2 linked regions of the Arabidopsis thaliana genome follow. The protein of the gene in region 1 interacts with the protein of each later gene in a pairwise test. Each region holds a gene or a part of one and is shown on either strand. Other genes may lie near its edges. The genes, in order: SAC52 and AT5G05800.

Region 1 (4,076 bases):
GGTAATCGTTTATAATGCTTGCATCTCTTGCAGGTTCGATGCTGTGATTGTATCCGCAGAAGTCGGATACGAGAAGCCTGATGAACGAATCTTCAAATCTGCGTTAGGTATTGGCATATTGCATTCTAAACTGAAGTGTTGTTTCGTTTAAATTATAAGAAAGGTTTCAGAGTTAACATTTTGTGTCAAGCGGAGAACAAATTAACGTTAACATTTTGTGTCAAGCGCAGAACAAATCAGCGTAGATGTAAACAGAGCAGTGCATGTCGGAGATGATGAAGGAGCTGATAAAGGCGGAGCAAACGCCATCGGTATTGCTTGTTGGTGCGCCAAATATACTTTTCATCTTGTTTTTTCCGAGGTTTTTAAATTCTCATCCATCATAACACATAGTGCTTTTTGTTTATCTGTTTTCTTTGAAAATTTAGGTTGTGGGGAGAAGATGTGCAGACATTTTCGGACATACAAAAGCGGATCTTGGTTTCAGAACTCTAAGCTTCAAAGATTTTGTTCTGCAATATTTTTCAGACCCTGTACACACTTACTCAATCAACACTGTAATCTGTCTCTTTAAAAATTTAATTAATAATGAAAAAGCTGCAAACTTGGACAACAAGAATCTAAAATTTAAATCAAATAGATGGATCCACGAGAAGCAAACAAAAAGAAGAAAATGGTGAAAGTTACAATATAGAGATTAAACTCTCGAAATAACAAAAAACACTATCTCCGCAACGATAGGTGCCTATGGAAACTGAATCAACAGATTTGGTTTTGATATCATATATCATCAGCTGTCTACTATTTGATCTAGGACAACACAAAAGCTTATTCTTCTCCAAAATGGCTACTGGTAATGATTGCGTAACACTACGATTCACTATCGAATATATTTGTTCCCAGGTCTTGTTCTCTGAATTGAACGACCATATTATCATTTGTTGGAGAGGTTTACTAACCGATAAGCACAAACGGTTATTCAGGCTGCGTGTGATAATGTTTCTATGATCTGCTTCCGCAAAAGGAGCTTTAGAGATAACTTGAAAAGTTTCGGTGTGGAGATCTAACGCTAAAACTTTAATTTCTTTCTTCCCGGTTAACCAATAAAGCGATCCATCTACATACAGAGCATGCCCCCGAGACGAGGAAGTATTAATCCGATAAGGAGAAGAAGGATTGATATACCTCCAAGTGTTGGTGCTAAAATCAAAAACTTCACATGTAGTAGCGTTTTCTAGGCCAAGTTCGGAAGAGTTATACATAACCAAACCGGTTTGTATATGCCACTGATTTTGTCTTTGCCAAATCCAAATTTAACGTGACTAAAATAACTTGGCTGCTCAAGACAGATTTGTTGCAACCTGGAAACAGGGAAACGTCGATGCCATCGAGTGGCGGGATTATAAACAATGTTGTTTAAGGTTTGGTAATCAAAGAGGCAAACAAGACCGTCACAACTATTGTGGAAAAGTTGGTAAATATGATATCGTTCTGATGATATCAACAACACGTTAGTTTTAAGTGGAGGAGAATCAGCAGTAACATGATGGGGCAACACCAACGTACTGGGTACTTCAGACACCAATACAAGATTTAGATCTTTCCCGCCAGCTGAGCAGATCAACTGTTTCGCCTGGAAATATTGAGATTCGATTGTCAACTTCCATTGTTTGCAAGCAGACTTGAATCTGAGCAGAGATTTCACCGGAACTCTCTCAAGAATATCCTCAACGGTGTCGTGGGGAAGCAATTGCATTATTTCTCTGTCTATTGAGAGGATTTTGTTCTGAGTGATGGATAACATGAAAGATATGCTTATTTGTATCAATTCAATCCAATGTTGATTTTTTCCTTGAGGAGGAAGATAAAAAAAAAAAAACGTATATACAATCGATGGGCCCTAACCCTATCCCTAACAAATCTCTTTAATATGTAATGCGCTTTAATAGTTAAAGCCCATTAGTTAAAAACCCAGAGCTATATTGTTGACCTAGCAAATTTCGGATCTATAAATTGAAGCCATTTTCTAGGTCATTAGTTTTTTCGTCGAGCAGCCGCGCTTTTTGGCCGAGGAAGGATAAAGAGAGACGCCATGGGAAGAAGTAAGTTTCTCTCGATCTCTTGTGACTTCTCTGTCAGGATTTCTGTGTTCTTCCGATTCCTCCATGGATTTAATTAACCAAATGTTCTCTCTTTGTTGCGATTTTGAGATTCTGCGATTCAGTTTTTCTATTCATCGGATAAATGATTAGGTTTATATAGTTTCTCTTTAGATACCAATTGATTGATTAGGTTTTTATATACTGTGATGATTTTGAGCTATATGAGTTTGGTCTGAGCTGAAATCTGAATAATCTGAATATTGATTTAGGACCTGCGAGGTGTTACCGTCAGATCAAGGGTAAGCCATACCCAAAGTCTCGCTACTGTCGTGGTGTGCCAGATCCAAAAATCAGGATCTACGATGTTGGTATGAAGAGGAAGGGTGTTGATGAGTTTCCATTCTGTGTCCATTTGGTGTCATGGGAGAAGGAGAATGTGTCAAGTGAAGCACTTGAAGCTGCCCGTATTGCTTGCAACAAGTACATGGTGAAGTCTGCTGGAAAAGATGCTTTTCATTTGAGGATTAGGGTTCATCCTTTCCATGTTCTCAGGATTAACAAGATGCTTTCGTGTGCTGGAGCTGATAGGCTTCAGACTGGTATGAGAGGTGCTTTTGGTAAAGCTTTGGGTACTTGTGCTCGTGTTGCTATTGGACAGGTTCTTTTGTCTGTTCGTTGCAAGGATGCCCATGGTCACCATGCTCAAGAGGCTCTTCGTCGTGCTAAGTTCAAGTTCCCTGGTCGTCAAAAGATTATTGTCAGCAGGAAATGGTATGTTCAAAGATTGATCCTTGAATCATTTTGTTGTTTGATTGTTTTATGGATACAAGTAAGCTAACTCATCAAGTCTTTGACTTTTTTTTCAGGGGCTTCACGAAGTTTAACAGAGCTGACTTCACCAAGTTGAGGCAAGAGAAGCGTGTTGTCCCTGATGGTGTCAACGCTAAGGTATTATTGGCTTTACATCAGAATTGTCACTCTTTGATCCTATAGCAGTGATAGTTATCATTGGAAATATCATTTGTTGTTGAATTGAACAATGTTTTCGTTTTTTTTTCAGTTCCTCTCATGCCATGGACCTTTGGCTAACCGTCAGCCGGGAAGTGCCTTTTTGCCAGCCCACTACTGAAGAGTATCAGAACTGAAGTATCCTTCTCATTCCGGTGAAGAAGAATTATAATCAGCCTGAATCTTTTTACTTATCGTTATCTCTGGTGTTGTTTTAAGTTTTTAGTTGGACACAATCAGTATTCTGAATCTTTTTGTGACTCTTTTGTTTAAGCTCTGAAATGATTTTGTTCCTTCGTTCTTGGCCATATATCTTTCATTTGCAAGTTTTATCATGGCTTTAGCTTTAAATATTTTAATTGAAGATTTGCTTGAAAATCGTTGAAGTTTTAGATAGAGATGGGTGATTGCCTTGTTGGATCATTTAGTATGCATAAAAGATTTGAAATTAGCATAGCAAGCCCATCTTAGGTATTGTCATGCAAGGCTGAGAGTTCAAAGAGAAAATGACAGAGACCTACCTACACGTCAAAATCAGATGCAAACTGCCATTTTCCTGATTAAGTCTATCTTTGTTTTTTTTACTTTTCAAAGAATTAATTGCCATAATTTCTGAAGAAGGAAGCAAAAATCCCAAAACAGAGAACCAAGAGAAAGGAGAAAAATTGAAAAGTTTATGGTATTACTTGCAAGCAAAAGATCAAGTTATCTTGCAAACAACAACTATAAGATTAAAAGCTCTTTTTCTTCTCTTATCAGAGAATTGAAAGAAGAACACACAAAACACATAATATAGTCTCTTTGCGAAAAAATGAATGAAACGAATATAAACAAAAATTTTAACAAATAGTATAGCAGAACTGAAAAACTCTAGATTCTGAACTTTCTCCACCAAACTTATTACAAGACCTGTTTCTGTTCTTTCCAAGAAACTAACAATACCACCAAGATGATTGTATCCAATTG
Region 2 (4,936 bases), on another chromosome or scaffold:
TAGCTACTAGCTAGGCCAACATTTCATATCTTTCCAAAATTTTAATAACCACTAGTATACACCGTTTTTTTTTGTTAGGTAGTTTTTCTCTAATATTATTCAAAATAAAAGCGACAACACATAAAGTTGTTCATACTTAATGATAGTTTACGTGTTATACGTCGGCTATGTCTAAGGCTTAACTAATCATAAAACACACATAAAATAAGGAGAAAAACTTCAAATTTACTAAAAAAAACCAAAAACAATGCGATTGCTTTACTTAACAAAAACAATGCGATTGCTACAAATTGTTTATAGATGTAACTTAATTAATGTTATTCGAGATAACACGTAAGCTTAAACTTAACGACACTTTATTCTTTATGTCTTTTTTTGTATTTCGTACCACTTGAAAATGATACTTCTACGAAATTTCATAAGCCGCCACAAAAACAAGATTGAAAAAGAAAGAATAAATATAATAAATGCAGAAGCGCCTGTAGCTCAGTGGATAGAGCGTCTGTTTCCTAAGCAGAAGGTCGTAGGTTCGACCCCTACCTGGCGCGTTAATTTTAGTTTCTTACTTTTTAGAAAATTACTCCTTAACCTTAAAGGGGTAATTAATTATTGGGATGCGACTAAACCTTTTTTTGCCCACTTTGGGTACTGTTTTTTGTCGTCACTCGCTTTATCTACTTTTTAATTCAAAAAAGATTCTAATCATCAACTCTCACTCAAAAGCCCCTTTCACACACTCCATTGTTGTCGGTGTCCCAAACCTTGTTCTGCTCTCTCGTAATATGCATAGAACTAAATGCTAAATATCTTCTCCTAATGAATGAAAGTGAGAACAATTCTAACACAAACCACTTAAGAATTAGGCAATTCAAAGGTTCATCAACATGATTCTCTACCTGTCTGTTTTTATATAATCCATATTCATAGAACTAACAAAGAACGATTCTTTTGGGTATAACATCAGACAGAGACAGAGGTCAGAGTACAAAAAGGATGGCTTGTAAAATACACTTGAACCTATGTTGTAGTAGGAATAGGAAATGAAGTAGATTGAAGTCTCTGCAACCATGCGATTCTCAAACTGGGCTTCTTCAGCTCTAAGAAGATCTCTCTATACTCTCTCTTCAGAAACAGGTCCAACGCAAACATGTAGAGCTCACTACCTTGTTCGACCTCTTCAATTGCGTTGAGGCTTTTAATGCATTCTCCAATGCTGTACATCGGCTTTGCCGATTCAATCTCAACGAATACCGGACTTTCCTGCAACATAACGTCATTCATTAACTTCATATCATCCAATGGTTGAGCGTTTTCACTGTCTATCCGATCTTCTTGAGACTCTGCATAACAACCATTTTGCCTGGAGGTTTCTGCTTCATCTACGTGCATCTTTGATAATGGAGTTGTGTCACGCCATTGTGGTGATTCAGAACGATTGTGGAGGAGCTTCTTGCGCGAACGCGAAGGAGGAGTGTATGTCTCTCCAGGTTCTATCACTCCGTTGAAAATGATTGCAAGTTGATCAGCATGAGGAACTTCCTTGTGGCGGAATTGTCCTGCTCTTGGGTTTTCCTGTAATAAACCAAAGACAAACACTATCTGTTCAAAATGTAGTCCAATGGGAGAAGGATAATAGTTAAGACAACTAACATTATCATACCCGAATATAGATTCGCCATTCCTCTTCTGTTGCACCAAAGCTACGAGATTCAGGATCCCATTTCATGCTACTTGCTCCAACGAGTTGACACCAGATCTTCCAAGCTTTCCTAGTGCAATCCCAGTGGTTTTTCAGCTGCGGTCTCGTATAACCAAGGCCGGTATTTTCATTAATAGTCCCCAGAATCGTCTTCCACCCTTCCTTGTTAAAATGAGTGTCGGGTCTATTTCCCTTTAAAGTCTCTTGAACCAACAGATCAAGAAACAGCTTATGTGTAGACGGAGACCAATACCCTTTTGTTTGAGGGTTAGATGAACTACACATGCTTTGGTTATCTTCATCTTCTTCCTCGTAACAACTTCTTCGCCTCTTCCTTACACCCGAGACTTCATCATTTTTCACCTCTACATTACAACCCGCAAAGAGAATCTCTAGCTTCTTGAGATCATGCGGAACACTCAACCGATACTGCCCAGCATCAGGATTCTCCTACGGCACAAAGCAATCACATTTTAGCATTTTATAAAATCAACAAAAATGAATGTAACAAGTGGTTTTGATTTGTAAACCTGTAAATAGTTAGCCCAGTCATCATCAGTTGCACGAAACCTGTTGCTCTCAGGGTTCCAATTCATAAAACTAGTTTCAACGAGTCTACGCCATATTTTCCACTGTCTGCTCATTGTATCCCAATGGTTCTTAAGCTGCATTCTATCGTACATGGCGCCTGTTTGCTCCTGAAACGATATCAATATGTTCCTCCAACCTTCTTTCGAAAAATGTGTCCCTGGTTTATTCCCTAGCATCGTTTGCTCCACACATAAATCAACAAACACTCTGTGATACTCAGGCTCCCACACTGCTTTTGGCCTCATTTCTTTTTTAACTTCTGTTCTCCAAAACTCCTAACAATTAAAAACGATACCTTTATCATTGTGAACTCGTTTTTAACAAAAGCACAGAGAGACAGAGACATTTGCATAAACATTAACCCAACAATTCTAGATATTGAACACAAATCATATAAACAAGGCATTGAACCAGAGAACGCAGACGCAATTACTTGAAACGTGTTTCAGGGAAAAATATGATTTTGCGACCTGAGACTTCGCCTACTTCAAAATCCCAGTAGTAACCGAACACGAAAATGGGGAAAATTGCACGAAACCCTAACTCGATTAATCGGGAGACTGAAAAACTACGATAGTGGTTAGGATTTCGCCGGCGGGAATTGGGAAGCTGAAGAAGGGAAAACGTTACCGGGAATCTGATGGAAACGCGACAGCGATTGAGTGGCCACTCTGTGACGGGTGTGGCTGGAAGAAGCCGATCGCGATTTTTCCTCTCTTTCTCTGCTTTTTGCGTTTGCGCCGCGCTGTACGGATTTTCCAAGGCTTTTCTAAGAGTTATGGGCTGGGCCGAGTTCTTTGGTCATGGGTCATAGCCCAATAAATTACACCGGTTCTTGCCTGACTATTTGTTTCCGTTTGAAGAGATACTCTGATTGGTTAAGAGGACACAGACTGTGAGACTGGTTTGCGTTGGGTCCGGTCTTGATTTTGTTCAAATTTCTGCTCGACTTAGATGTTTTTTTTGCTTTCTTATCGAAACATTTTTATAGCTGATTATGTGAAGGAGTTAGGAGAATTGAATATGGGTTTATCGAAAAGGTGATTATTGTTCCAATCAAATATATTTAGGTGACTATCGGCATCATTGATAAGTATAGATATAGTTTGTGGGGGAGGGTGACCACGATTACCAAAATTAATAGGGGACTCCAGCAATAAGATTTGCTTTAAATGGTGCCGACCAAATAATAAATAACATTTGCTTTAAATGGGCCGTAACGTATAAATCCAGATACAAAAATAATGGAAATTAGTCCAAAATTTAAGAAATAATGGTACAGAAATAGCTAGCTAGCTCCAGCTCCCCCAAATCGTCACTAGGGAACAAACTGCTTTCTACTCGTTTTTTTTTATGATTTCTTTTGCTTATTCTGTTATGGACTTTGTATTTTCTTGTTTTCTATTCGTGGTTTTCTTGTGGACTGATTAGCGTTAACACGTTATAAATCTTGTATACTTTACTTTTTGTGTTATACAGAAAATCTTCGAGAGAGAAAGATAACGAGGCATAACACATGATTTTTACCAAAAAAATATATTAGGAAGACATATATATGGCTTGAAAATGTGACTGAAAAGTTGAGATTCTAACAAACATTTTGTCTCAACGGTTAAAATGTGATTGCACTCTCTAAACCGTTAGTGTGACATCGTGAGAAAGCAGCAGACACATGACTATGATGTTAACATTTATTATCTTAAAATGCATGTAGTCTTTACTCTTTAGCATGGGAGAAAAAACCTCAATCCAAAGTAGAGTTTGGTTATGATTTCGGTGGTTTGGCATGTAGTCTTTAGTTTTGATAGAGAAAAGGGCTAAGAGACATGCATTGATGATTTGATTCTAGTTTATGCTGTTATCGACTCTGTGCTAGCCATTATATTTGTTTAGAGTCAGAATTTATGATCAGTACGAAAATTCCAAAAACAATTTCTATAGATATCATCATTGATATGTGTCCCTATATATTAATTTCCATTAATGAATTCAATTTAAAATGAAATAAAAAATGTTGGTTACTATAGTAGTTCCTAAAATCAAATTTGTAAGGCATGAAAGATGAAAGAAGGGAGTCATGTTTTTAATGCATCCTCTTTGTCCTCATTCACTTTGTTTTCTTTCCCTTTTATAAAAACCTCTCTCCCTATCTCACACACTCACAAAAGTGTCTCCCTTATTTTCAGGCACTTCAAAATAAATATACGAAAATAAAATAACCATTTCTTAAGTCTAAAGACCTTCTCTTTCAACTAGAAGCCTTTAAGCCATGTCTTCTTCTTCCTTGATACTTCTCTTCTCTACTCTCTCTCTCTTTCTCAATGTCTCACTCGCAGACAATCACACGGCGGTTGTTATAACAACCTCAGATACTCCACCGCCACTTCCTCCGCCTTCTCCACCGCCACGGCATAACTTCACTTCCTCTCTCATGCCCGGAATCGCAGTCGTTATCGCCGTCCTCACTGCGTTTTTCTCTCTCACTTTCTTACTTCTCCTCTACGTCAAACACTGTAAACGACGAAACGGCAGCGTTTACGTAAACCACCCGCAGCGTTTCGCAATCACTAGATACGGAGGAGGATATTACAACGGTGGAGGAGTAGTAGGAGGAAGGAAAAACTCCGGTATAGACCGGTCCGTGAT

The links.
Region 2: the proteins of SAC52 (region 1) and AT5G05800 interact in binary tests that used the Arabidopsis thaliana proteins (3 or more experiments, as listed by UniProt).

What each region holds. Positions count from the first base shown.
Region 1 is NC_003070.9:4,886,178-4,890,253, forward strand, and holds SAC52 (Ribosomal protein L16p/L10e family protein), read left to right. Parts: upstream 1-1,936; 5' UTR 1,937-2,092; coding exon 2,093-2,102; exon of another isoform or gene 2,103-2,252; intron 2,253-2,371; coding exon 2,372-2,873; intron 2,874-2,968; coding exon 2,969-3,050; intron 3,051-3,162; coding exon 3,163-3,231; 3' UTR 3,232-3,527; downstream 3,528-4,076. Other genes in the region: AT1G14310 (Haloacid dehalogenase-like hydrolase (HAD) superfamily protein), read left to right, coding at 34-107, 231-324, 429-495; AT1G14315 (F-box and associated interaction domains-containing protein), read right to left, coding at 684-1,200, 1,362-1,756.
Region 2 is NC_003076.8:1,742,217-1,747,152, forward strand, and holds AT5G05800 (Myb/SANT-like DNA-binding domain protein), read right to left. Parts: upstream 3,030-4,936; 5' UTR 2,921-3,029; exon of another isoform or gene 2,566-2,920; 5' UTR 2,536-2,565; coding exon 2,230-2,535; intron 2,150-2,229; coding exon 1,661-2,149; intron 1,573-1,660; coding exon 1,018-1,572; 3' UTR 778-1,017; downstream 1-777. Other genes in the region: ATL43 (RING/U-box superfamily protein), read left to right, coding at 4,560-4,936. UniProt on the Arabidopsis thaliana protein: Transcriptional repressor that associates with ribosomal protein promoters.